7 linked regions of the Nothobranchius furzeri genome follow. The protein of the gene in region 4 interacts with the protein of the main gene of each other region in a biochemical or structural test. Links are inferred from orthologs where the notes say so. Each region holds a gene or a part of one and is shown on either strand. Other genes may lie near its edges. The genes, in order: akt1, cdk5, rnf6, cdkn1bb, grb2b, cdc34b and cullin-1.

Region 1 (3,500 bases), on a different chromosome or scaffold from region 4:
ATGTGTTAGGAGATCGTTTTGGGCCGTTCCTGTAAAAAAAGTGAGGCGCGAACCGGAAAAGCGTCTGCCGATCACAATTCGACAACGGATTATGAAAGAACGGATAACGCTCGAAACACACAGATTCTTCCTGATGTAAGAGGTGAGTCTCCTCTTTGTTTTGGCGTCGACATCATCCTAGCGCGCAACGTTCTGTGACTCTTAAAAAAACAGTAAAAACGGTGAGAAACGCTGGCAGCGAAGGCTGTTGGCGATCAGGAAACGGCCAGCAGTGAATGAGTTAAAAGCCACATATTGTTGATATTGAATCAGCAACAAACCACTATGAATGGCTTATTTTGATAAAACTCTTAATTTATGGCCTGTTAGTGACAGAATGACAGCATTAGTAATAAGCTGTTAATAAGTGCTTAATAATGACTAGTTCAGACTTAGTTGTCCACTAATATGCATATTAATTGGCAGCTAATTAATGGTTAATTTGTGTTCCCTAAACTAAAGTGTTACCAAAGTTTTAAACTTCATATGCAGGCATTCATCTTTCTCAATCCAGACAAGCAGGAATTTAATATACTGGATAGATTTGTAAAAGAAAAACACTCAAACACCTAAACTCAGAACTTACACAGTCTTTGTTATGTTGTCACCAATTTAGTGAAGGTTGCCTGCTGTTAAAAACAACGTAAGTAGAGGTAGATTTGTGTTTACCTCAGGTGCAAGGTACTCAGGTGTCCCACAGAAAGTTTTCATAGTGGCACCGTCTTTGATCCCCTCCTTACACAGACCGAAATCTGTGATCTTTATGTGTCCGTCTTTGTCCAGCATGAGGTTTTCCAGCTAAGGAGGGAAGAAAAGGTTTCGTTTTCTACATGAAATCAACTTTCATCTCCTTAATACAAGATGCAGTTTGTACTAACTTTAAAATAAAAACATACAAACGCGTGTGTGTATTTTGGCCACAACTGTTGTTTTTGCTCCTTTTTACGGGTTTCTTAAACACAATGTCGTAACTCTAGCTCTGTCTTTATTCCTTATTCAAATGTAATATTTAGATAATCCGTACATCTTAGTACAAAAATAATTATTTAGATGAAAACAATCCCTTTATTCTGTCCTTCTCTTAACTGAAATTAGAAAAAATTTGTCAAATTTCCTCCGTTTTGAACTTTTTATTCAACTGAAGCATTGATTTAAATTATAGTGAGAAACAGACGAGCTCAGAACCATCAACTTCACGACTAAAGCAGCAAACTCCACCCTCTTGGCTGCCACTTCCTTAAATACAATTCAAAATCTGTGCCAAGTAAAAATTTACTCAAAGTGGACATCATTCAGTTCCATGACGTGAGGTTGCTCATTCTGGCCCTCACCCCCCTCCAGATAGTCACCTGACAGCTGTAGCTCACACGTGGCCAGCAGCGCCCAGCCAGAGTCAGCACATCCTCCAATCCTGCTATCCTGGCATTTTCAGGAGAACCCTCGCAGGCTGGGAGCCTGCCTCGTAAAACCCCAGGGAAGGAAACCGGGGGGGAGGGAGTGTGTGCTGTGCTGACCTGGCTGGTATAGTTTTATCTGCTGAAAGTAGTATGCCTACAGATGCCCACTGCAGCATTTATAACCCACCTAAACAACAAGATGCCCATCAATTGCTGCACTGAAGGATTCTGGTTCTGTGTTTCCCTCAAATTCAGAACTAGAAGCCAAAAACATCTTAGCTGGAGACGAAGGATGGTTTCTGTTAACAAAATTAATTATTTTCTACAGCGTCAACTTATAAAACGGTATCAATTACAAAGTGCACAGATATCACCCACTGGGCATCGAATGCACGCTATAACTGGAGGAGGTCGCAATCTGTTCAAAGAGCCTGGTGTTTACTTCCGTCTCTCTGCAGTAATGTATGGACCAAGCTCGTCTCCAGCTGCAGTGAGGCCTGGAGGAAGCAGATCAATAAGGCTTGGCCACGGCCACTGCTCAGGAGGAAGATAAACCCTTCCGAAGGACGACGGAAGGAAGCGAGAGCGAAAAAATGAGTAGAAGAGGCCAGAATGGACAAAGGCGAGCGCACAATTTCCCGCTTACCTTTAAGTCACGATAAACCACGTTCCTCTCGGCGTGCAGGTAATCAAGCGCCGACACTATCTCTGCTCCGTAGAACCGAGCCCGTTCCTCGGAGAAAACCCGGTCTCTTGACAGATGGAAAAAAAGCTGAGGAAACGTAGGGGAGAAAACGAGGATTCAGTAATTGTCCAGAAGGGAGAAACTGAAGCCATGTACACACGTAGCCGACTACCCCCCCCCCTCCATTTAGGAAGAAAACTTGGGTCTCGTTTTGGGCAAAATAATCTAGCACACTGTGAAGCACATTCGTAGGCATCCCAAGCCTGTAGGGGACGGTAGTTCCCCAAATTGTTGGCGTCTTTGCCGAAAAACATTCCATGGATGTGGAATAACAAGGTGGCAGCCAACAGCCGTCCTCAACATCGTCTTTCACCTGCGTCTTCTTCACCAGAGCAGCCACCGAGCTAATAAGAACAAGGAGGTAAGTGTAAACAGGTCACACATGTGACAGTACAAAACCTAAAACCCAGTTTTTTATGTCCACAAGCACATGCTGACGATGGAGAATTCACAAATTTCCATTTTGGTCCGGGTATTTGAAAGATTCGCGTTTGGTGCCCTGGATCTTCACTTTTGCGTGGATGACAGAAAATATCTTTGTTTAGTGGGATACCCGACTACGTGTGTACAGGGTCTTAGTCGTGAGGGCACCGGTAAAACGGCCTACCTCGCCGCCGTTTGCATATTCCATGACGAAGCACAGGCGGTCGTGTGTCTGGAAGGAATATTTGAGTCCCTGCAGAAGAAGAACATGTTTAAAGCAGAACTTGAGGTTTAGAGAGAAATCAGGAGGAAGCTGCCCTTTAAAACAGCTGGAAACAAAATGCATTTTAATACAAAGAACTGTGGGAACACCCAACCAAAAAGGGAACATCAATGATCCGATTTGTGGAGGTTTTAAAGAACCGTTGTCATCTGGTCTACATTGAAGCCGATGCATTATGTCTCCACCTGCCAACCCACCTCTTAGTCAAAAAAAAAAAAAAGGGGGTTAACAAATAAAAAACTAAAAGCCCAGTGTTGCTATAAACAGGCACATCACTTCAAACACTCCAGCCCAGATTTTCTGAATGGATTCTGCTGGACTGGACTGAAGAGGTTCCTGAGGATTTCTGTGGGTTAACGTAAGGTTTTGGGTATACGGAGGGGCTCCTTACAGTCAAGAACGGATGCTTTGAATTCTGGAGGACCCTGTTCTCTGTGAGTGTGTGCGCCACTTCATCCTGAAAAAGAAAAGCACAAAGAGTGTTTGTGCAAGTCTCACAATAGCTAACTATTTAGGTATCAGTCATTGCGCCGCTGCCCTCCTAAACCCGAGTAGCTTTCACCCCTTTTTCACTCGGCTCTCTGGCAACCACTCACTTTTGCTACGATCACCT
Region 2 (4,148 bases), on a different chromosome or scaffold from region 4:
GACTCTGACCTCTGATTAAATGTCTCAGTTTATTAAAAAAGATGTTTTCTTTCTTTGCAGGCTGGGACACATTTGGAACTACTGGGCAAAGGAGGACTCTACTCTGATCTGATCCGCAGACAAAAAGCCGAGGGGCAAAAATAGACACAACAGTTTGTTTCCAGTAGACCAGTTATATATATAAAAAACATTTGTTTATTAAATAACATCAAATGTGTAGTACATTTACCTGCTTTCAGTTTAGCAGCAGCTTAGCTATACATTTTAAACAGTTTGTGTTTAAGTATTAATGGACCAATGTGTTTATTTCAAAATACACTACTGTGCAGATAAATTAAAATAAAAATATAGCCCCTGGGTTTTTGTCTATCTTGTATGGAAAAATAGTACATAAACATTTAAAAACTAAAACATTATTAAACCGTTTAAAGTATAAAAATTTGAATCTTGTTTTTGTGATCTAACTTTTGGGAACTGCTGTTTTGATGCTTTCTGCGTTTCCTTTGAAATGCTTCAGTTATTTCAGAATGTTCTTTAACTGGTGAATCTTTAAACACAGAGCTCAGATATCCTCTAGCACTAAGAAAAATCTTTACCAAGACACCACACCTAGTATATTTGCTGTCTTAGTAAACAGGATTACAATCTTGTTTACAAGGCTTAACAAATAAAGCGCTGAGGTTTATCGGACTTTGAAATGAGGTTTATTCCATTAGATGGATAAATCAGACTCTCTGGGAAACGTTTAAAAAATACAAATGTAACCTGATGGCTTTCAAGAGAACATTTGCAGTCAGAGATTTGATTTGAAACGATCATCTTACAAATGAGGGGATGCAGTCTAAGAGTGTTTTGTTCAGATATCTGTCTATAATGAATCTTAAATTGTTAGTATGGTTTTATTATCTAAGAGCAGCAATTTCCTAATGTTGTGATTCCTCGCACATGTGACAATAAAATCCTTCTGATTCTAAAATTAATTTGACCCCAGTGGCAGTTAAAATGAAACGTTCATTTTATATTTCTGTCATTTATAGCAAGTCATTTATAGTAAATGTGATTTTTTTCTTTTAAAGTTCAACATGACTTTCCCAGTGGCTATTATTAGATGGTGCTTAGGTATTATGGAGTCAGTATCAAATAACGATGCATTAATCAGAGATAATTAAAACAACAGTTTTTCCTTCTTTTCTTTCGTTAAATATGCTTAACTTAATGGCTTTTTATTTTAGTTCTCACTGAGTTAAATATTATCTTGCCTTTATTTGTTGAAGCTCCAAAATAACATTTTCCGCATCCAGCAGTTCATATTTTGCCCTCTAGGTGTCAGCCAAGAGCGCACCTGTTGTTGCGGTCTAAACAGAACACTGACTCACTGAGCCTAGTATCGGCGTTAGCTTCTGCAATATTCTAGCCACCCCAGGCTCGGGGTTTTGTCCTTCATTTGTTTGCAAGCTTCATCAAGGCTCGTTTCACTCACAGAACATGCAGAAATATGAAAAGCTTGAAAAAATCGGAGAGGGTGAGTTTATTTGGGGCAATATTAGCTTGCTGAAGTAAACGCTAACATAGCATCAATGCTAGCTCAGGGCTTGCTGAATTAGACTTGTGTATATGCTATATATTTTGTTATTCATATGCATAGTACTTAAATTTAATGCAAATCTGCGTGAGTTTGCTTTATAAACGTAAGCCGATTCCTATAAATTTCACGGTGCCAGTAACAGGCTAGTGGTGGGTATGTAAATAAATAGCTAACTAGCTGCTTTGGCATTCATCCGGTTTGTGACAACTGGACATTATTTATTTTGTAGGTACATATGGGACCGTCTTCAAGGCAAAAAATAGAGAAACCCACGAAATAGTGGCGTTGAAACGGGTCAGGCTGGACGACGACGACGAGGTTGGTATACTAAAATATAGATAGACGCTAATGTTTAGCTTGCTAGTGCTAACCCAGATAGGTGTTTTTCAGGGAGTGCCAAGTTCAGCTTTGAGAGAAATATGTCTTCTTAAGGAATTAAAGCATAAGAACATCGTCAGGTCTGTTTACCCAGAGGAGTTAAAAAGCAGCATTAAAATAATAACTTGATGCCAAAATGAATCATCTGATTGTTTTTCTCTCCAGACTACATGATGTGCTGCACAGTGACAAGAAGTTAACCTTGGTTTTTGAATATTGTGATCAGGTTAGTTACTAGTTTTCCAAATATTCCCCCTCCTTTTAATATAGACATTATGTTGCTAAAGTGTGTTTTCTTGTCCAATATAGGACTTGAAGAAGTATTTTGACAGCTGTAATGGCGATCTAGATCCAGAAACTGTAAAGGTGACATGAGACATGACACCTGGTTGCCTTGATAGTTACAGGTTAAATTGATTGTTACTAAATTTAACTTCTATTCTTGAATTCCCTCTGCAGTCGTTCATGTACCAACTGCTGAAAGGCCTTGCTTTCTGTCACAGTCGAAATGTTCTTCATAGAGATCTGAAGCCCCAGAATCTCCTCATCAACAGAGTAAGTATCAAATCAGGAATTATGCTCTTTTTGTTACGCAATGCTGAATTCAATGTTCATTAAAGAACCACAGCTAAATGCTGTGCTGGTGGTGGGATTAATAAAGAAATGTATAAATTGTTTCTTCATCTGTAGAACGGAGAACTGAAGCTAGCTGATTTTGGGTTGGCTCGAGCCTTCGGCATTCCTGTCAGATGTTACTCAGCAGAGGTAAGTTGGACATTAGAATTTTTTTTTTAAAAGTAGGGGAAATTTCTGAATCTGTTGCAAGAGAGAAGCCAAGATGATTTTATTTGCAATTTTTTATACAAGTGAGATTTAAAATCTAGAAATTAACTAAAATGTAGTACACATAGAAATATGTGTGGGTTGCTTTCACACTATGTTTGACATTAAACTGAGCAACAAAGACAGATCTGTGTCCCTCTGTGTGCATATAAATGTTAAGTGGGTTGTTCAGAGGGACGTGAAATTTTAGAAATTTGTTTATTATCTGAAAAAATGATAAGACTGACCTCAGGACCAAGCTTTTATGTATGAAAGGCTCAACCAGAGTGACACTACAATGTAGAAATGTGGCAAACTGAAAACTTAAAACACTGAGAGTTTGAAATTAGGTCATTTATAAGATTGTTTTATTTCAGAAAACAAAAAGATCATACCTCTGTTTGACAAAATGTGACAAATTATTTTTATATGCAACATTTACAAAGAGTTGGGAAGTTTTTCTTGTGTTCAATCAAGTCTAGCTGAGATTCCTGCATATTTATGGAGGTTGGAGGTTTTTTATGGAACTGGAATTGAGACAATATGTAACTTGTACCCAGCTTTGTAACCTGTAACATGTTTTGTAACTGTAACTTTTATTTTGTAACTTGCAGAAAACAATCAATGTACAAATTTCAAATTACAACTTTCAACACACAAATCTCAGTCTACAAGTACAAAACATTTTGTCCAAATTCTAGCTTCCTTCCCAAAGAACCAATGACAGGCTTTGTCTGACCAGCCAATCATGAGTCTTGGATTCCTTTTCAAATAAAATTCCTGTTTCCTGCAAGCTAGAATTGTTCCTAAATGTTTTGTATTTGTAGACTTGAGTTTTGTAACTAGACTGAGATTTGTGTGTTGAAAGTTGTAATTTGAAATTTGTACATTGTTTTCTGCAAGTTGCAAAATGAAAGTTTCATGGTATGTACCGAAGTTAAGCCGGGCGTACACTGTGCGACTTTTTCACTTTTTTGAGCCGATTTTCCAGTCGTGCGAGAATCCACGACATCGGGGCGAGTTTTGCGCCGAGCGGTCGTGTAGTGTGCAGGGGGTTACGAGAGGCGATTAACACCACGTGACCAGCCGCCGATCAGCAGTCGTGAGGTCGCAGGGACTTCTGGTGTGTTTAATATTTTGCTCATCCCTCGTGAGGGTATCGCACTGTTGAAGCAGCGCTGCGAGCAGCTGCGAGCAGCTACGATCCAAAAAAGTATCAGAACCGCTCACGGCGCATGCGCGCGCAATCCTGCATCAACGCCGGCCGGTCGCTCGCTATTTCCCTAATAACACACGCTGTTCGTTTTTGTTTCTACACGTTTTTTTTACTCACAAAGATTGTCAAGAAAGCGTGTTTGTCGTG
Region 3 (4,066 bases), on a different chromosome or scaffold from region 4:
CGAATCCTTCTCACCTGCAGGTCCAGCATGATGGTGGGGTGGCGTCTCACTGCTGAACCTCCAGCTCCTGTGACGTGTGAATCCCTCTCAAGCTCCACAGTCTCCACAGCCGTCTCGGTTAGAGCAGCAGGTTCTGACACGGTCTCCCCAGTCTCCATCGACACCGAGGTTGTTACACTGGCTGGCTGAGTGTGGACAGCAAAACCAATTGGGACGCTGCTGGAGGATGGTGCAGTACTTGGAACAGGTGTTCTGTGCAAAGGAGAACGACTTCTTCTAGACACACGAGATGAAACTCCACTCCCTGTTGTAGCCCTACGGGCACGACCACGCGATCGAGTCCTACTGCTGCGTGATTCGTGTTCCACAGGTGGGGCCTGTGATTCAGATTGGAGTGACACCTGAGGACAGTCTGGAGGAGTAGACATTCCATCCTGCCTTTGCTCCACCTCTACATGCAGGAGCGGACGCTGGGAAGGTGTGGTTTGATCAACAAGAGAACTGGGGACAACAGACAAAGGTGCGGAAGAGTGCAAAGTGTTGACCCTCCTTTGACCAGAAATCTCTGGAGGTGGCGGCACATGGAGGCTAACAGGAGGAGTGGTAGTGCTGCTACGTGTACGTCGAGTCTCCATCCTCCTACTGATGGCAGGACGGGGGGAAGGATATGGGGCTGACCTTGGTGCAGCTGAAGGGCGAGAGCTGGAGAGTGAGAAAGCAGTGCGTGTAGAGGGTGCTGTTGTGTTTGAAGGAGTCAGCTCTGCAGTATCTGCGGTGTTCACACCGTCATTATGCTCTCCAGGCTCAGGTTGATCGTGGTTTATGTTGATCTCTAAGCTAAAACGAAATTCCCCACTGTTGGGGTTGGTCCGGCTAACAGCCCGCCATGTCTGGTTGCCGCTCTGTCCACTCCGGGTGGCATTACCAGTACGTCTGAAAGTGTTGAGCCACTCCAGTAATGAATCGCCATTAGAAGGTTCTGCTCCAGGTTCTGTGTTCCCTGTCAAAATGTTTTTAAAAAGTTAGAACTTAGTAAGAAAACATTTGCAGTTATCTTAAGTCCCAAAATTCCTGGTGAATGCTATTGTCTGGTTTGTTTAATCCTAACCATGGAACCAGAAAAGTCAGATAAACACAAGAACATCATACCTGCCCCTCCTCTTCCTCCAGCACCTCTCTCCTCTCCCCCGCTGCTACTGCTCTGTTGTTCTCCAGCGTCAGCAGTCTGTGAGCGTTGCTCAGTGCCGGGCTGAGACAACACACGCTCTTTTGCTCCATCCAGACGCTGTCGCAGCTCCTCTGCAGTAACCTCCCCTGTAAAATATTTTGCACATTGAGGGTGTTTTGAGACATGAGCACCAGAGAAACACCTCTGTGCTTAGATGCTCCAAAGACAGAAAAACATAATTAAAATTATTATTATTTTTTTTTTTTAATTCTGGTTTGGAAGTACTAGATACATTTTTCACATTCACAGAAAACCTTTGGGGCTGCAACATCAAGTAAAGACTCATGTAAAGTGACAGTTTGGCCTGGACCTAAACTAGTGGGTGACTCCTCACCTGGGGTGCCCAGCAGGTTGCTGTCTCTCATGAGACGGTACTCTTCCTCACTCAGTTCATTTATGAAGTGATAGTATGCCTCCTCCCGTCGAAGACGCTCTGCCTGCCTCTGGCGTTCATCTCCCCCACCAGGAGGGTCCATCACCATGGAGAGTGCTGGGAAGCAGATGAGCAAATCATCAGCTGATGATGGAAAGTGACAGTGACACGCAAAGCTACCCACAGCAGCTTTACCTAAGTGAAAATTTGTTATGGATGCATATAAACAAGAGAATGCAGTCAAAACTGATAACAGCTCCATTCTTAAGTCGAAAGATGAGTAAATAACATTTGAGTTTGAGGTATATACGCACTCAATATGCTGTGGTGCGTTGCAGCTCAACAAGAAATGCAAATTCAAACCTGATCAGTCTTTTAAAAGGCCGAGAGGAAAACCAACGTCAACCATTTTCTACAAGAGCTACTGCAATAATCTAGCTAACATTTAGCTTGTGTGTTAGCGTCAGAAGTTAAACTATTTTGTCATGTGGAAAAAAATAACAAGAGTACAAGACAGCTAATAAGACAAATAATACCGATGTAGTCTTCATGAAAGCTAATTTTAAACAAGTGGATTTATATCGAGCGAAGGCCACGGCTAATGTAAAGCAACAAAAGTGCCGCTGTCATCATGGTCAGCGACCAATCAGCGGTCTAGCCTCGGTGACGGTCACGCCCGGCGTCCAATCGCTGTTCGGCAAAGGCGGGCCAAGCGAGGCTAACGGAGGCTTCCTCCATGTAGACGCAGAGCATCGAAGCAAAGACAAAGAATCCTGTCCGCATAATCAAACAGCAGAATGATTCAGATGTATGCCATCAACAGTGAAATTATGTGTTGTCGCACAAACGCACGAGCACGATTTGTGGACCCTTCATAAACTGCGAAGCGTAAAATTCAATGCGCAACGCTTCCGAGTGTTAACTGAACATGTTAGCACAGCCAGCAATCAGTCGATGCCCAGTGTTAGCTCCGAGAAAAAAAAGAAACACATTACCATGGGGAATTATTTTATCGATCAGTTAACACACACGAAACACACAAGTTAAAGAAATCATACTCTCGTGAGACGTGACATTAAAATTTATAAGATTTAGATACCTGACAAGGCAGTTATAATATGGACGGTTGGCTCAGCTCTCACCTCTCACAACCCAAGATGGGACCAGCGGTACAAGCATTAAACCGTCCGTCTGAAACAAGCACCGCATTTTCTTAGTTCCTACAAAACAATACTGTCCAAAGAGATGTTTATTGGTTTTTTAACCAGTTTGAAAGGCAGATCAACATTATCAAAAATAATTAATTTATGCTGTATTTAAAATGAAATTGTGTACATTTTACTTTAACATTTGTTATAAGCAGGTCCTCCTAAAAATGACTGAGATCACGATCCAAGAGTAGGTCATGAAACACCAGTGGGTGTAATTTCTAGATGATCTTCATTAATCAACGTAAATCTAAGAAGAGTAGCTAATTTGTCACTATTTATTTACTATCACGGCTATTCTCTCCACACAAAAAGATAAGAGACGATGTATGAATGAGCTAGTCAAAGAATGCTGACAGTTCTGGATAAAGTAAAGAGCCTTTAAAACAGTTTTTGTTAGTAAATCCTAGAAATAAACAAACAAATAAATAAAAGAAGATCCAAACTGTGAGCCAAATGCAAATTCAAATGCATTGTAAAATGAGTTCATAGTAAGAATTCTATTGTTTCCAGTTCCCGATAATGCAATTTTCCTACTAACTATGACCAACTTCTGTACTCATTTTATCTAATCACCTCTTTAAAATGAATGGCATCTTTTCATCTATGTTTCTGTTGTTAAAACATAAATTCACAGTGATTAGTTAACAGAGATAGAAATTAGCTTTTATTGAAGACAAATACAAGTGTTGCACTGTCATTGTGAATCCATGATAAAGAGAAATCCAAAAGGGACACAGATGTCCCTCCACAAAATTGTCCTCCAACAAATTACTTTTTACCTCTTCAACTCACCGCTACTTATATGGATAAACCCTTGAAGATGTCATAAATGGGGGTTTGTTATAAATTGTCAAACACTTCCATCAATTATTGGGTATTGACAACTTACTGAATTAAATAGGCCCAATTTTCTTATTTGCTTAAAATTTAAAAGATGGATATTTTGTTTCTTATTTACAAAATCTAATTGAAGGGCTTTTTTAACCAATAAAAACGCTTTTTGGTGGTTTCCTGTCTGTAACACGACACTAAAATAAAAAAACGCTGTTTTCACAATGTAAATGCGTTACTGATGAGGTTCTAGACACGTATTTCAACGTGGTTGGGTCTGCTTATCCCATGTTTCCATCCTCTTTTCTCCGCTGCAGGACCGTCTTTACGACGTTTTACGACAGTGCTGTCGTTGCCGACTATGTACGTCTCTTTGGAGCAGATACCGGCTGGGGGGAAACGCAGCAACAACAGAAAGAAATA
Region 4 (4,123 bases):
TCATTCTCCTTTAACCCAGAGTCTTAATCATACATGTTTATGTTGGCAGGTATCGGATGGTTTCAGAGGGGGCAATCTCGATTAACCACAAACGGGCTGACCATCCAGAGCAGGTGCTGATCCCCAAAGTCCACATCCTGACTAATGGACTCACGCTGCTCAAAGTAGGAAAAAGGAATTTCTACATCATCAAGTGGCTCGGCCTCTGACACTCCCTGATTGAGAATGAAGGCACTAAACTAAACTGTAATGACTGATGACGAAGGTAGGCAGCAATACTTTGGCAGTCAGTGAGAAGATTTTGATGGACTTTTACTTTATAAGTATTTGTTTTTATGGACATATAAATATGTAAATGCATAGCTGTGATGCTTATTTAAAAGTGTGGTATTAAAGTATTTGATAAGATTGGTTTCTTGCTGATTTTGTGCTGCAATAGTTTAGTCAAGTGAACACAAGATGGCGCTATTGTTTTAATGGCTGGCTGTAGCCGGCCTCATCTGCACCACTTATCCTGCTGTGACCCTTTTAAGTAAACATTTTTTCCAGTAAAAGTACATTGCATCATTTCTCACAAAACAGTTTAAACACTGCACTTTTATTTTGGAACATGAGGCCAAAATCAGCCTTACGTCTGGTGTTTTATTTTCTGTCAGTTTGTGTAAAAAGTAACAAAAGGAGAAAAAAGGTTTTCATGCAGTCATTGACAAAAAGAAACTACCTTAAATTATTTGTATTATATATATATAATGATGTAATTCTCTCTTTTGGGAGTGCATGCTGACTTTTATGTGAAATTGTGAATTTTTTCAGCTGCGATGTAAAAACCAATGCTCGACCCACGGCAGGTTTGATTTCTGCAGGTTCTTGGCTTATTAGTTTTGTTTTACACTCCGTTGTAGTGTGTCTTTGGCATACGTGTGTTGCTTTATGATGCTGGATTTTTTTTTTAAATTTGGTAAATATTTGGTTAATACTTATATTTAGAATAAATCAACTATTAAAAACAGAGTAATGCACACTGAAGATGTTTAGAAAAATAATGGTTTTGACTCCTTTGCAAATTACCTGTAAATTTAGTATTTTTTTTAGATGTGTAACTATAAAGCTTGTGTGATGTAGTCATTTACACAAAAATACGTTTTCTATTTTTAAGAAGCATACATAAATATTTATTTTAGTAAAACGTGATGGAAAAATATGAGCCGACTTCCCCACTCATACACGCCTACTGTCACTTTAAATAAAGTAGGTGGGGCCAGGTGTCGCTTAACCAATGAGCGTCCTTTGCCGGGTTTAAATAGCTCTGTGTGTCAATCATAAGCCCCTCCCCCTCCCGTCTCAGTCCCCACCACTGCTCTGCTCCTCAATCGCCATATTGGGTGCTGAGGTTTCTCTGCAGTTTCTCTCTGAGCGGAGCGAAACTGACAGCGTCCTCAGTTCCTGTGCACTTTGTTTTGATGATTCTCGGAGACCATCTTCGACTCCAGAGCCCCGCAGCAGTTAACGTCTTCCACTTCGACGTATGCATGGCATAGGTGTAGAGCTGCGTCGGATCTTTCCCCCGTGACCTGGAGATACCGCTGTTGTTGTTTTTTATTTGTATTTTTTTTTCAGCGACGTGTTTTTCTTATGACAGCTGGACGCTCCCGGCTGACTGAAAATAGCGTGTTTATTGGGGGGAGGGGAAATGTCTAATGTTCGAGTTTCAAACGGGAGTCCGACGTTGGAGCGGACGGAGGCCCGGGTGTCGGAGCACCCGAAGCCGTCTGCCTGCAGAAGTCTGTTCGGCCCGGTGGATCACGAAGAGTTAAAGAAGGATTTTAACGAACACATGCGGGAGTTCAAAGAGGCTGCCGCTGCCAAGTGGGGCTTCGACTTCGCCAGTGACACGCCACTGAGCAACGGCAGGTTCAAATGGGAACTAGTGGATTCCGAGGAGATGCCGGACTTCTACCACCGGCAGCCGCGGAGGGAGAAGGGCGTCTGCCCCAGGAGCACCAGTGTGGATCTAAACGGGAACCATAACTGCGTCCTGGTGGCGTCGAGCGGGGATACCAGCAAGCCCGACGGTCAAACGGAGTGCACCGGGCTGAGGAAGAGACCTGCTAGTCACGGTACTACATTTGCATCTAATCAGGTTTTAGAGCCGGAGCTCGGCTTTCACCCGACAGGAAGCACATCTATAACCCTCTTCTTGTGTTTTTGCTCCGAGTTTCCCTGACAGAATTTCTTTGCTGTTCGCAGAGCCTCCGACCCAAAACAAGAGGTCCCATACCAGCCCAGACGAGGTTAGCTGTCCGAACCTGAGCCACTCAGTAGAACACACACCCAGAAAGCCCAGTCCCAAGAGACAGACGTGAGCCCGAGAGAAAACGGTGAGGCTTAAACTCATCCGTATACAATAACCGCATGTAGCTTCTGTTCCTCAGCTGTGATCTGAGCCACAGCAGGTTATATAACACGTTCTCTCCACATATTATCGAGTAGCTTTAACGGTGCTGCACGCTTATTTTATCTTCAGTAAGTAAAATGCTGGACTCTAGTAACCATTTCAACATTTTATATTCATTTAATCACAATGAGATCAACTCTGCCGAGAGAAAAAGGCTTTAACGTCTCACTGCTGCAGCTTTTCTACTAAACTGTAAACAAGGGCTGAACAACAGTGTAGTAGTAACACGTCAGCAGCCACTGCCCTCGGAGCAGAGCAGAGAAGGGGCTGGTCTCTGAACACACACACGCACGCACGCACACACACACACACGCACGCACGCTGTCCCTGCAGGCAGAGGAGTGTGCTGAGGAGACCCGCAGGTCCGAATTCAAGTAAAGGGAGGAGGGATGGGCACGATGAGATCTTCCTCACAGTGGTTTAGGACCTGTTTAGGCTGCAGATGAGAACACTTACATCAATGTTTCTTTTTAGCACAGAAATTTGAACAATAACCGGGTGTGATTCAATATGAGGATGTTTTTCTGTTCAAAAGTAAATCCTTGAAAGATTTTATTATAAAATATGATGAAAGAACTGCACTAAAAGACAAAATAGCTGTTAGTTTCATAAGTGTGTGTGTGTGTGTGTGTGTGTGTGTGTGTGTAACAGGTCAGTTTAGCTTAACCTTGTTAGTCTTTTTAAAAATAGGAAACTGATAGGGGGTGCACACTTGAAATAAACAGTCTAGTTATGAAAAATAATTAAAGTGAAACTTTTTCCATGAATTGTTAAAAGATGATTTTTCAAAAATGTTAATACTAACCTTTTTTTTTTCTTATTTTTCCCACCTTCTCCACACAGTTCGAGCATTTTTTTTTTTGCGAGGGTGTTGTTTTTTATATGCATCTTTTATTTTATTTTTTTGGAGGCCTGACTGTTTGTTGGCTTTTTGGGGATGAGGATCTGCGCAGCATCAGAAACATATCGGCTCTTCTGAGGACTGAGGAGGACGCTGTTGAAGCACTGAATAGAAACACTAAAGTTGTGGCACTCAATTAAAAATAAGTTACTGCCTCTAACAGCAGTCGATGTAGCAGTGTGCAATTAGGTTTTATTTCCCTTTTTTGCTCGTTTTGTTACTACCTGTGTGTAAATAAATTAATAAAGATGGATATATATATATATAGGTATAAATATGTCTCCATGTGTAGCACATAAGGAACTTAATTCTAAATCCAATCCTTTTTGTAAAAAGTTGTGAATTTTCATTTGACTTGAAGAATTGCAGTGATGGTTTCCAAAATGCTGTTTTTTATTTTTATTTCCAGACTGTGTGACATTTGCCACTGTCCTTAATTGCTACACTTAAAAAGAAAAAATCATGGCTTCTCACCGTTTCTGTAGTGTTCCTTCACTCCGTCAGCTTCCTAATGCAGCAGTGAAGAATGGTACAAATGTAGCTCACGTATCGTAATTTAATTTGTTTTTTCATTTATTACAGCGCCTCCCTGCAAAGGGCTGGACTCGTCTAAACGACGAGGAGATGTAAAAATTCTGTTAAGATTTTCTGATATTTATTTTTTAATCGAGGTGCTTTTAGCATCAGAGTCCTGGAATATTATGAAACAATTTTTTTGAAGTTTTTCTGTGCGCCTCAGCTACGTTTTAATGTTCGAGTGTTTCCTT
Region 5 (3,500 bases), on a different chromosome or scaffold from region 4:
CAGAAACCCAGAAAGACAAGAAAAAAACCAGTGATAACCCTACCATACATCAAAGGCACAACAGAAAAAATAAGAGCAACAATGAAAAAACACAACATAAACACACCAACAAAACCATACACAACGGTTAGAAACAGACTAGTACACCCAAAAGACAAGATACCAGCTGGACTTAAATGTGGAGTGGTTTACGAAATCCCCTGCAAACTCTGCAATAAAACATACATAGGAGAAACCGGACGCCAACTCAACACACGAACAATAGAACATAGAAAGAAAGGAGTGCGAGAAAGAAACAAGCCAAAAACACACAAGAGCAGCAAAACAAGAAGCAGAAAGCACAATAAAGAAGTCAACCGTAACAGACCACTGCACAAGAGAAAACCATATAATGGACTGGGACAACACAAGGATCATAAACACCGAACAACAGAAATACAAAAGATAGACAAAGGACGCTATAGAGATAAGGAGACGTGGATGTGGGACCATGAACAGGGACGATGGGGTTTACAAATTGGATCGTGCATGGGACTGCATCATCGGAGAGAGGAGAGCGGGCAGCAGAGGGCGACAACGTCCTCTGCTGCCCGCGGATAAACGGAGTAGGAAGTGACGCCACCATCAGCTCTGAGGAAGTTTTGCAGCCGCAAACGAAACGTCAGCAAGGTAAAGAGAAACCTTTCCTGAGTTTAAAAAAAGAACCAAAAATGGAATTAGAAACTAAACACAGTAAGAACGTCCAAAAGACTTGTGCTTCTGTTCCAGGAACTAGAAGTGAGTCGGTGCAGAGTTGAGCTGAAGACGGCAGGATTTGGAGCCTTACTTCCTGATATTCGGACATCTTTCTTCTGACTGGCTAACAGCAACACGACACTACGCTGACTCTGGTTGCTCTGCAACGTTGATGTTTTATCTCCACAAATAACAAAAGCCAGCAGGAGTTCTGCTGTGTGGTGGAGTTGCTAATGCCAACAGCTAACTCTTACATCAGGAAGAATCCGCACGTTTCGAGCGTTATCCGTTCTTTTATAATCCGTTGTTGAATTGTGATCGGCAGAAGCTTTTCCGGTTCGCGCCTCACTTTTTTTACAGCAGCTGCCCAAAACGATCTCCTAACACATGGATATTCTGCTTCCTGATCCCGTGACGTGTGACGTACGTGGATGAAGATCGGCTTCAGAGCGGAGATGTTTGTTCTCACGGTGCGGGGGCTCGTCCAACGCCCACACAGTAAAAACATGCCAATGACGACTTTAGTCGTCATTGGCATTGAATGAGTTAATATTTCTGCCAGAAGACAACACAGGAAGTCTTCAGCTGAGTAAACGGTTATGAAACAACATGTAAACAAGCTGCTAAGAGATTTTTACTTTAAGACGGTAAAGATCCAAGCTGACCTCGCTCCTCCTAGTCTAGCTATGAACTCATCAGTGCTGAAGGACATAAACTCCATTTCTTTGAACAGAGGCTGTTCAGGAAGCAATCTACAATGAATGAGATCATTTATACTTTTCCACACAAATGGCCGAAATGTTCCTTTAATTGCGTCTAAAATAAAAAAAAAAGCATAAATAAAAATTACATTTTTATGAATAAAATCTTCTAACCTTGCAAAATATTTCAGATGCGGAGAATAAAAAGACGAACACACACACGTCTCCTAACTACCTTTCAGACACACACACACACACACACACACACACACACACACACACACACACACACACACACACACACACACACACACACACACACACACACACACACACACACACACACACACACACACACACACACACACACACACACACACGAAGGCGGTGAGAATGACATCTTTAGCCTAACCCAGATATTTTTTATGATCCTTTCATTGGAGGCGATCAAACGTTATTTACATGTGTTGCATCAGTTCACCCATCAGCTGTCAGCCAGCCCAGCGTCGCCAGTCTGTGGCTTCTACTCTGGCGAGCGCCACCCTGAAGAAGGAACCACCACGCCAGACGAGCACCGACGCATCGCCGCTGGTCTCAGGAGACGGGATCGCCACAGCTGCTCGACACCAACGATCTTTTTGTGTTATTACTGAACGTTGTGGCGATGCTGCCGGTTTACCCGAGGTCCAGATGTTGCAGGACATGCAGATGTTTTCAGGCTAAAGTAACATTTTAATAGAAAAAACTGTATTTTATAAAAGTTGGCTTTAAAAAATAAAATGAAATGAAAACTGCTGCAGTTACAGTAAAGACATCCCAGCTGGAGTTTTAGATGGTAATCTGATTACATTTCATCCTGATGCTTCCTGGAGCATCTCACGATGACTCCAGTGACGCATCTGCTGGAACACTGAAGAGTTCATCATCTCAACCGTTTGTTGTTCCAGCAGAAAGGATCGGCTACAGCGTGTGACAGCTCCTGATAAGAGCCTGTTCACTTCTCAGTGCGCGTCCCGTTATCGCTCAGATTAAATCAGCTTCCACAAAAACGTCCCAAACATCTGAGAGGTGGTGTGTAGACACCAAACAGCAGAAAGAACCACCCAAATCCTAAATCTAAGGCCTACTTCTCCCCACTCCCCCGTTATTCCTGATTCAAGGTCATGAACGTTTGTGTCAAAGCGGACCTGAGGGACCTTCTCACCCGGGGCGAGTAGGGTCTTACCTGGGGGACCTGCTCGATGTCTCGGAGAAAGATCTGCTGGTTGCGGGAGACTGAGGTGGTGCGGTGGTAGTCCACCAGCTCGTTGAGGGAGTTGAACTTCACCACCCAGAGAAAGTACTTCCCAGCTCCGTCGCGAAGAACCTTAAAGTGCTGCACGTCGTTTCCGAACCTGAGGGAGATCACAGCAGGGTGTGTGAGCCGAGTCGCGCCTCGCAGCTCAGACGAGTCAGCGCTTTTGGTTTGTAACTACAGAGAAACGGGCCGGACTGAATCCTGCATGTGAAGTTCTCCAATAATCCAAAAGCAACAGGAAATAATCTGTGGTGTAAAAGTAGCGAAACCAGTCTGTAAATCTATAAAAACGTGTGACAAGACACGTTGCACCAGAATGAGGAAACGAGAGTCAGCAGCCCTCTCTGGAGATCCGCTCTAAGGAAGCTGAACTGATGATAAACTTCATCTGGTCTGGTGCTCCACTCACTTCACAGAGAGGGAGAAGTCCCCCGGTGCGCTCTCGCTCTCTCGGATGAGGAACGCCCCGTCGTGCCTCTGTTTGTTTAGCATCTCCTCTGCTTTGGCACGAGGAATCTTCCCGAAGAACCACCTGCAAACGCAAACAAGAACATGTGAGATTCAAAATTTTAAAGAGCAAGTCACCCCCTACCCTACCAGAGTATTATTCTGCTCCCACTTCCTGTTTGAAAAATGCAACAAATGCTGTTGCCTAGCAGACCGAGAGGGCGGAGCCGCGAACACACACACACACAGGCCCACCACAACATTGTGACATCATATGGTACCAGCTAACGTTCTAGAGTACCTCTTAGCCAATAGCGATG
Region 6 (4,107 bases), on a different chromosome or scaffold from region 4:
TCGCTCGAAGCCTCGCTGCTGGATCTGCCTCGACCCAGTGTGGTCCTTTTCGGGCTCGGAGACCTGTTGCGACCTCTCCTCTCATCTGGAGATCGCGACCTGTTTACTCTGGACTTGTTTCGGTGATCTCTGCCCCGACTTATGGACCTGGAACGAGACCTACGCCGTGTTTTCGAACCCATCACGAACTTTCTTCTTTTCGGGGCCCTAAATGCAGTCTGTCGCGTAAATAGGAGGCATTGACGAAACACTGTTGATTATAATAACGTTTACAATCGCACTAATAAAAACATATGTCTATGTTTAATGTTCGCATACTCTAACGTGTGCTATGACAGAAAAAATTACGTGTCAGATTTCTTTTATAAAAAATCCAAATGTATTTAGTAAGGCAAAGAAAAGCTAGCCTAAATGGGCTTTCCTGAGCACTGGCGCAGATTAAAACGTCACAGCCACTTAATAAACTACAAATTAGCCACAAATGAACGCAGGATTGTTTTTCTTACAATTTAGTTATGTCGGTGATAAAATACTATTATTGATGTCATAGATATTTCGTCCATAGTAACCGCTACCGTATTTAAACAGTTTAACAGGAAAATGCAAGCACAAACAAACTTATTTTTCTTTTTGGGCATTTAAAATAAAAATAAAAACATCATAAATAAAAAGAACAGGAATTATATTATACCAGGGTTTTCAGTTATTTTGGTTTCACGTTTTTTTAATCTAACAAACGCGGAATGAAAGACTACCAGTCCCAGCCAACAACAGGGCGCCATTACCTGTTTTTACCAGGGGACTCTTTCAGCAACACATTTCCTTTCGCAGCTTTCTATGAGGGCTAAACAATTATGGTTACTGGAGGTATAGTTTGGCGTAGTGTCACATGACTTTTTGCGTTTGTCTTTTCAAATTGCCATTTTATGTAGTTATTTTGTGTTTTTGCGGTAATTACGTCGCTCCAGCTGGTCAATTAGACGGAGCTTGTTAGCTTTCCTTAGCTAACAGTAGATTTAAGGCTTATATCAGCTGCTGCTCTGCCAGGTAAATCAGCCAAAGCTGTTGAGCCTCTCAGACACAATGTGTTTCTCGTTTATAACATTACTGAGTTTTGACATTAATAACGTTTAATTTGGGAACAGACCAACCGCAGTCTTTGTTTTGCTTTTACGCGCGGTCGGCCTGTTTTCTTTGCCTCCGAACATCGAAAAAGGAGAAGTTGTGCTGTTTGCTGGCTTGGCTAGCTTAGCCGTGTAAACAAAAGCTGTCGCCTCCAGATAATCCTGAAAGCTTCATAAATCATTATGGCGCAACACGACCCTTCTCATGTAGCTAGTTCGCAGAAAGCTCTCATGTTGGAAATGAAGAGCCTCCAGGAAGAGCCTGTGGAGGGATTTAAAATCACTCTGGTGGACGAGGCTGATTTATACAACTGGGAAGTCGCCATTTTTGGTCCACCAAACACTCATTATGAAGGGGGATATTTCAAGGTAAGGTTGTAATTAAAATCAGATGACATATAAGAAATGACCGTAGTTTAAAAAATAACAAGATGTCCCCATTTTCCCCCCTAGGCAAGGATCAAGTTTCCTACAGATTATCCTTACTCCCCTCCTGCTTTCCGCTTCCTAACCAAAATGTGGCATCCCAACATCTATGAGGTTAAATATTGACGTGTGTGTACTCATAACAGTGTATTTAATTTGAATGAATGCATCTGATGATGGAATGTATTTGTTTCCCCTCTTGTAGAATGGAGATGTGTGTATTTCTATACTGCACCCTCCAGTGGATGACCCGCAGAGCGGAGAGCTCCCATCAGAGAGATGGAATCCAACCCAGAATGTTCGGTTAGCATTTCTCTTTCTAATCATATTCTCTCTATACGTTTCTCCTTTCTGGTCTCCTTCCATCTTTGTCCACTTTGCAATCACTTCAATGGTTCACCCAGCGCAGACTCTTATCTTATGACATTCATTATCAGCAGCATCTTCTTCACCGGCTGCAGCAGCCAGCAGTAAAGCTAGATCTGCATCTTCCTCTTATTTACAAACAAAATTAAATTGATCTTTGGATAATATCATACTATGCAAACTAAGATTTTGTTGGTTTATTTCTATGAAAAACATACTTTGAGTACCTTAATTCATTGTGACTCACAATAAGTGTATCGCATGAGTTTGACAGCATTTTGCTGCAGAAGAGGGAGAAAATGCATCTTTATTTATTATAAACTTCCTTCTGAGGTTATTTGTCAGGCTCACATTATGCAATCTGTGCACAAAAAAATGTATCTTTGATCTTTTTCTGTAACTGAGAGCCAGATTTCTATTCAACAAGAAACTATCTATGTAAAAGCCACCACAACGATGTCACACTCACAAGTGATATTAAACCTGTGATCTGTAGTAGTCGAAATCACACAACTTCAGCAGTGTTACAAAGATGTAAGCTCTGGTGGTTTCGGTCACTTGATGCAGTGCAGCTCTTATGTTTTTGTTGTTGCAGGTGGTATACCGTTAACCTAACCTAATTTCCTCATTTGCATTTTTGCTGCAGACACATTAGATCTGTAGATCAGGAAGTCTGTCACAAAGGCTGTTCCTTTGGCCACAAACAGAAGCAGCTTCTTTCTGTTTCCCATAACGACTCACTAAAACCTTACTCACAATGCTACGTTTTATAAATGTAATGTAAAGGCTTGTCAGTGCGCATTGTGCGCTCTGCTGAGAAGGTGATTGGCTGCAGCCCTCCATCTCTCCAGGACCTGTACGTCTCCAGAACTCGGGGGCGTGCAGGCCGGATAACAGCTGACCCTTCGCACCCGGGTCACAGACTTTTTGAGCCGCTTCCCTCAGGCAGGAGGTTACGGTCCATCCGGACCAGAACCTCCTGCCATAAGAACAGCTTCTTTCCATCTGCCGTTAGACTTGTGAATAGATTATAAACACACAACCATGCTGGTCTTCTGTACTCGACACAACGTCACGTTATCGGCCATGTTACCATTACCTGCCATTTTAGCTGAAAGTTTTATTCTAGTTTTTTTAATTATTATATTTTATTCTATTTTATTCTATTTTTAATCTTATTATTCATGTTATATGTAGCACATTAGTGCCGAAGCAAGTTCCTAGTTTGTGAATTGTTTGTTCACTGAAAATGGCAATAAACCTATTCTGATTCTGATTCTGGTAGGGTGGTAGCACATGGGTCTGACAGGTTTTTTTAATACATGTTTTATCAATTAGCTTTAAGTTCCTAATGTAATATGTGCTTCATTGTTTATTCTAATAAAATAGTAGATGAAATAAGTAATTTAGGCTTGTGACATTAAAATATTTTTTATGTGTTTAAAACTTTTTAATTCACCTAAAGTCGTTTTCTTATGGTTCTATACTAAGTTGCCTTTGTTTTTTGCTTCTAGGACCATTTTGCTGAGCGTGATCTCGCTGCTAAATGAACCCAACACCTTCTCCCCTGCCAACGTGGACGCCTCTGTCATGTACCGGAAATGGAGAGACAGCAAAGGCAAGGACCGGGAATATGTAGAGATCATCAGGTAAACATTAGTGTAATGTTATTTAAGACAAACCTCAAATATTTCTAAAAGATTTTCAAAGCCACACCATCCACACAAAAGTAATTCAGTCTTCATAAAACAAATCCCTTCAGGAAACAGGTGCTGGCCACAAAGGCAGAAGCAGAGCGAGATGGCGTGAAGGTGCCCACCACGCTAGCTGAATACTGCGTTCGTACACGCGCCCCGCCGCCAGACGAAGGCTCTGACCTCTTCTATGACTATTACTATGAAGACGATGACGTGGAGGGGGGAGACGGCGACTGTTGCTATGACGAGGATGACTCGGGCAATGAGGAGTCGTGACATTCTTGTTGTCAGAAAACCCAACCTAGCTGACGAATGCTCATCCTTTAACTCTTCCTGGGTTGCCAGATATTCTTGGTTTGCAACCAAGAGAGATTGGAAGCTTCCTTCTAAATCAGTACAAGAGCTTTTTTCCTTCAGCCTCAGAGGTTAAAACTGATGCCTCGTTGCGAGAGGGTCAGACTGTGGTCACTTTTGCACCAGCACAGCCACCAATT
Region 7 (3,500 bases), on a different chromosome or scaffold from region 4:
CGCACACACACACATACACGCACGCATACGCATGCACACACATACACGCACACACACATACACGCATACGCACACACACATACACGCATACGCACACACACACGCACGCACACACATACACGCATACGCACACACACACATACACGCACGCATACGCATGCACACACATACACGCACACACACATACACGCATACGCACACACACATACACGCATGCACACACATACACGCACACACACATACAAGCATACGCACGCACACACATACACGCACGCACGCATACACACACACATGCATACACACACACACGCACGCATACACACACACACACACGCATACACACACACACACACGCACGCATACACACACGCACGCATACGCACACGCACGCATACGCACACACACATACACGCACACACACACACATACACGCACGCATACGCACACACACACACATACACGCATACGCACGCACACACATACACGCACGCATACACACACACGCACGCACGCATACGCACACACACACATACACACACGCACACACACACACGCACACACATACACGCATACGCACACACACACATACACGCACGCACGCATACACACACGCACGCATACGCACACGCACGCATACGCACACACACACACATACACGCACGCATACGCATGCACACACATACACGCACGCACACATACACGCATACGCATGCACACACACACACACATACATGCATACGCACGCACACACATACACGCACGCATACACGCATACGCATGCACACACATACACGCACACACACATACACGCATACGCATGCACACACACACACACATACACGCATACGCACGCACACACACACACACATACATGCATACGCGCGCACACACATACACGCACGCATACGCATGCACACACATACACGCACGCACACATACACGCATACGCATGCACACACATACACGCACACACACATACACGCATACGCATGCACACACACACACGCACACACACATACACGCATACGCATGCACACACACACACATACACGCACGCATACGCATGCACACACATACACGCACACACACATACACGCATACGCATGCACACACACACACGCACACACACATACACGCATACGCACGCACACACATACACGCACGCACGCATACACGCACACATGCATACACACACACGCACGCATGCATACACACACACACGCATACACACACACACACACACACACACGCACGCACACATACACGCATGCATACACACACACACGCATGCACGCACGCACGCATACACACACACACGTACGCACGCATGCATATGCACACACGCACGCATACACACACACACGCACGCATGCATGCATACACACATACACGCATGCATACACACACACACACGCACGCACGCACGCACACACGCATGCATACACACGCACGCACACACACACACACACACACACATGCACACACGCATGCATACACACACACACACACGCACGCACATACACATGCACACACGCATGCATACACACGCACGCACGCACATACACACACATACACACGCACGCGTACGTACATACACACACACATGCACATACACACATGCACGCATACACACACGCATACATACACACACACACACGGCCCAGAAGCAGCTGATTTCCTGTTTGTATGCTCTAGTGGACTTCAGCATCCAGGTTCTGAGTTCTGGATCGTGGCCGTTCCAGCAGTCGTGCACCTTCGCCCTTCCGTCGGAGGTGAGACTTCCTTAATGAAGCTGCTGCGGCACGTTGCCATGTTCTGACTCCTCCTGTCCTCCTGCAGCTGGAGCGAAGCTACCAGCGCTTCACCGCGTTTTACGCCAGCCGGCACAGCGGCAGGAAGCTCACCTGGCTGTATCACCTGTCCAAAGGAGAGCTGGTCACCAACTGCTTCAAGAACAGGTAACAGGATGTTTTAGGCCTCGTTTCTCAGACAGAACCTGCCAGAGATCAAGGTTGATCCACTGCGAGTCTCTAGGCCAACAGAAGTTGGAGTCATAGAAAGCTAATGTCACAAACAGCCTCTGAGGCTTTTATTTTGACGGGAGTGCTACAGCGTTCCTGGTGTTCTCCTGCCTGAAGAGGAGAAATAAGAGGGAATCTGCAGGCTCTAGAAAAGTTTTACAAAATGATGAATTGCATTAAGGAAAATTTTAAGTCTGGTTATCATCTTGTTCTCAACCCATGTTTGTTATTGGGTCACGAGTCGTCATGTGACCAGTCACAGGCGGCTTTGCACAAGCGTGCTGTGGCGCTACAGCGTGAACGACTGCTGTTGCTTCAACACCCCACAGCAGTTGGAGTTCACCAAATCAAACGTCCCTGCTCCTCCTCCCCCATCAGCCGTTCCAGAGGCTCGTCGACGGAGCAGTTTAACCCGTTAAAACCTGATACTAGCAGCACGAATAGTTTATTTCCTGGTGGGAAATGGCCCCAGCTCATGCACCCGTTTATTGATCCGGCATTCGAGGACACTGGAGATCCATCATGAGATGTGTCTGTGCTGCTTTTGGATGCCAGTGTTTGACCATGCGGTAACCGAGATCACGTCGTCGTCTTAATGAAGATAATTACCGTACAGCTCGGTCAGAAAGCCGGTTTCCAGTTGATCTGATGTCAGCTGATCACATGACATCAGCTGGAAGCTCAAGCTCAGAAAACAAATTATGATCTGATGTTTTATATTTGACCCAGATACATCAGAAGGTCCTTAATGAGTGTTAGATGGTCTGAGATCCCTGCACGTACCCTGAGTAAGGGAACGCTCCCAGGCCAGATATGAATCTTTCCCATAATGCATCAGTCATGTGCTGCCTGGTGCTGCAGGTACACGCTGCAGGCCTCCACCTTCCAGATGGCCATCCTGCTGCAGTACAACACGGAGGACAGCTACACGGTGCAGCAGCTGACCGACAGCACGCAGATCAAAACCGTAAGAGGCCGCTCCAACCTCAGGATCCATGTAATCAGATTACATCTAATCAGCTGGCTCTCTGTTCTCAGGATATTCTGGTTCAGGTGCTGCAGATCCTGCTGAAGTCAAAGCTGCTGGTGAGTTCAGCCGTGTGTGTGCGTGTGTGTGCATGTGTGTGTGTGTTTTAGCGATCAGGTGTAAAAACTCAACTTTTAAAGGAGCTGCAGCAGTTTTAGATTAAAACCTTTAATTTTCTTCTCATCAGGTTCTGGAGGACGAGAACGCCAACGTGGACGAGGTGGACTTCAAACCGGACACGGTCATCAAACTCTTCCTAGGATACAAGAAGTGAGGATCAGCTTTTCCTTCTGCCGTCTGGGTTTGTTGAAGCGGTTTTAAATCGGTTGTCCTCCTGCAGTAAGAAGCTGAGGGTGAACATCAACGTCCCGATGAAGACGGAGCAGAAACAAGAGCAGGAGACCACCCACAAGAACATCGAGGAGGACAGGAAGCTCCTCATCCAGGTGACC

What was found.
Region 1: of the proteins of cdkn1bb (region 4) and akt1, one has a biochemical effect on the other in vitro, tested with the Homo sapiens proteins (2 studies listed by BioGRID). The link is inferred for Nothobranchius furzeri from reciprocal best matches to the Homo sapiens genes CDKN1B and AKT1.
Region 2: the proteins of cdkn1bb (region 4) and cdk5 form a complex in vitro, tested with the Homo sapiens proteins (2 studies listed by BioGRID and IntAct, with this or other methods). The link is inferred for Nothobranchius furzeri from reciprocal best matches to the Homo sapiens genes CDKN1B and CDK5.
Region 3: of the proteins of cdkn1bb (region 4) and rnf6, one has a biochemical effect on the other in vitro, tested with the Homo sapiens proteins (2 studies listed by BioGRID, with this or other methods). The link is inferred for Nothobranchius furzeri from reciprocal best matches to the Homo sapiens genes CDKN1B and RNF6.
Region 5: the proteins of cdkn1bb (region 4) and grb2b form a complex in vitro, tested with the Homo sapiens proteins (2 studies listed by BioGRID and IntAct, with this or other methods). The link is inferred for Nothobranchius furzeri from reciprocal best matches to the Homo sapiens genes CDKN1B and GRB2.
Region 6: of the proteins of cdkn1bb (region 4) and cdc34b, one has a biochemical effect on the other in vitro, tested with the Homo sapiens proteins (3 studies listed by BioGRID, with this or other methods). The link is inferred for Nothobranchius furzeri from reciprocal best matches to the Homo sapiens genes CDKN1B and CDC34.
Region 7: the proteins of cdkn1bb (region 4) and cullin-1 form a complex in vitro, tested with the Homo sapiens proteins (2 studies listed by BioGRID, with this or other methods). The link is inferred for Nothobranchius furzeri from reciprocal best matches to the Homo sapiens genes CDKN1B and CUL1.

The regions. Positions count from the first base shown.
Region 1 is NC_091758.1:33,910,168-33,913,667, forward strand, and holds part of akt1 (RAC-alpha serine/threonine-protein kinase), read right to left. Parts: coding exon 3,484-3,500; intron 3,345-3,483; coding exon 3,279-3,344; intron 2,858-3,278; coding exon 2,789-2,857; intron 2,209-2,788; coding exon 2,083-2,208; intron 838-2,082; coding exon 709-837; intron 1-708. UniProt on the Homo sapiens protein: AKT1 is one of 3 closely related serine/threonine-protein kinases (AKT1, AKT2 and AKT3) called the AKT kinase, and which regulate many processes including metabolism, proliferation, cell survival, growth and angiogenesis.
Region 2 is NC_091751.1:49,904,740-49,908,887, forward strand, and holds the start of cdk5 (cyclin-dependent kinase 5), read left to right. Parts: upstream 1-1,348; 5' UTR 1,349-1,485; coding exon 1,486-1,522; intron 1,523-1,814; coding exon 1,815-1,903; intron 1,904-1,975; coding exon 1,976-2,043; intron 2,044-2,128; coding exon 2,129-2,189; intron 2,190-2,272; coding exon 2,273-2,329; intron 2,330-2,422; coding exon 2,423-2,518; intron 2,519-2,653; coding exon 2,654-2,728; intron 2,729-4,148. Other genes in the region: abcb8 (mitochondrial potassium channel ATP-binding subunit), read left to right, coding at 61-144. UniProt on the Homo sapiens protein: Proline-directed serine/threonine-protein kinase essential for neuronal cell cycle arrest and differentiation and may be involved in apoptotic cell death in neuronal diseases by triggering abortive cell cycle re-entry. Interacts with D1 and D3-type G1 cyclins.
Region 3 is NC_091747.1:51,004,087-51,008,152, forward strand, and holds the start of rnf6 (E3 ubiquitin-protein ligase RNF6), read right to left. Parts: upstream 2,801-4,066; 5' UTR 2,781-2,800; coding exon 2,744-2,780; exon of another isoform or gene 2,701-2,743; intron 1,719-2,700; coding exon 1,563-1,718; intron 1,315-1,562; coding exon 1,150-1,314; intron 1,001-1,149; coding exon 1-1,000. UniProt on the Homo sapiens protein: E3 ubiquitin-protein ligase mediating 'Lys-48'-linked polyubiquitination of LIMK1 and its subsequent targeting to the proteasome for degradation. Negatively regulates axonal outgrowth through regulation of the LIMK1 turnover.
Region 4 is NC_091744.1:57,771,973-57,776,095, forward strand, and holds cdkn1bb (cyclin dependent kinase inhibitor 1Bb), read left to right. Parts: upstream 1-1,424; 5' UTR 1,425-1,690; coding exon 1,691-2,117; intron 2,118-2,247; coding exon 2,248-2,363; 3' UTR 2,364-2,378; intron 2,379-3,298; 3' UTR 3,299-3,623; downstream 3,624-4,123. Other genes in the region: yars2 (tyrosine--tRNA ligase, mitochondrial), read left to right, coding at 50-209. UniProt on the Homo sapiens protein: Important regulator of cell cycle progression. Inhibits the kinase activity of CDK2 bound to cyclin A, but has little inhibitory activity on CDK2 bound to SPDYA. Involved in G1 arrest. Potent inhibitor of cyclin E- and cyclin A-CDK2 complexes.
Region 5 is NC_091752.1:67,694,930-67,698,429, forward strand, and holds part of grb2b (growth factor receptor-bound protein 2b), read right to left. Parts: intron 3,266-3,500; coding exon 3,143-3,265; intron 2,831-3,142; coding exon 2,662-2,830; intron 1-2,661. UniProt on the Homo sapiens protein: Non-enzymatic adapter protein that plays a pivotal role in precisely regulated signaling cascades from cell surface receptors to cellular responses, including signaling transduction and gene expression.
Region 6 is NC_091751.1:57,908,530-57,912,636, forward strand, and holds the start of cdc34b (cell division cycle 34 homolog (S. cerevisiae) b), read left to right. Parts: upstream 1-1,307; coding exon 1,308-1,493; intron 1,494-1,577; coding exon 1,578-1,664; intron 1,665-1,755; coding exon 1,756-1,853; intron 1,854-3,430; coding exon 3,431-3,565; intron 3,566-3,678; coding exon 3,679-3,889; 3' UTR 3,890-4,107. Other genes in the region: splicing factor Cactin, read right to left, coding at 1-182. UniProt on the Homo sapiens protein: E2 ubiquitin-conjugating enzyme that accepts ubiquitin from an E1 ubiquitin-activating protein, and catalyzes its covalent attachment to other proteins by an E3 ubiquitin-protein ligase complex. In vitro catalyzes 'Lys-48'-linked polyubiquitination.
Region 7 is NC_091747.1:63,552,676-63,556,175, forward strand, and holds part of cullin-1, read left to right. Parts: intron 1-1,695; coding exon 1,696-1,772; intron 1,773-1,839; coding exon 1,840-1,958; intron 1,959-2,882; coding exon 2,883-2,988; intron 2,989-3,059; coding exon 3,060-3,107; intron 3,108-3,235; coding exon 3,236-3,318; intron 3,319-3,388; coding exon 3,389-3,494; intron 3,495-3,500. UniProt on the Homo sapiens protein: Core component of multiple cullin-RING-based SCF (SKP1-CUL1-F-box protein) E3 ubiquitin-protein ligase complexes, which mediate the ubiquitination of proteins involved in cell cycle progression, signal transduction and transcription.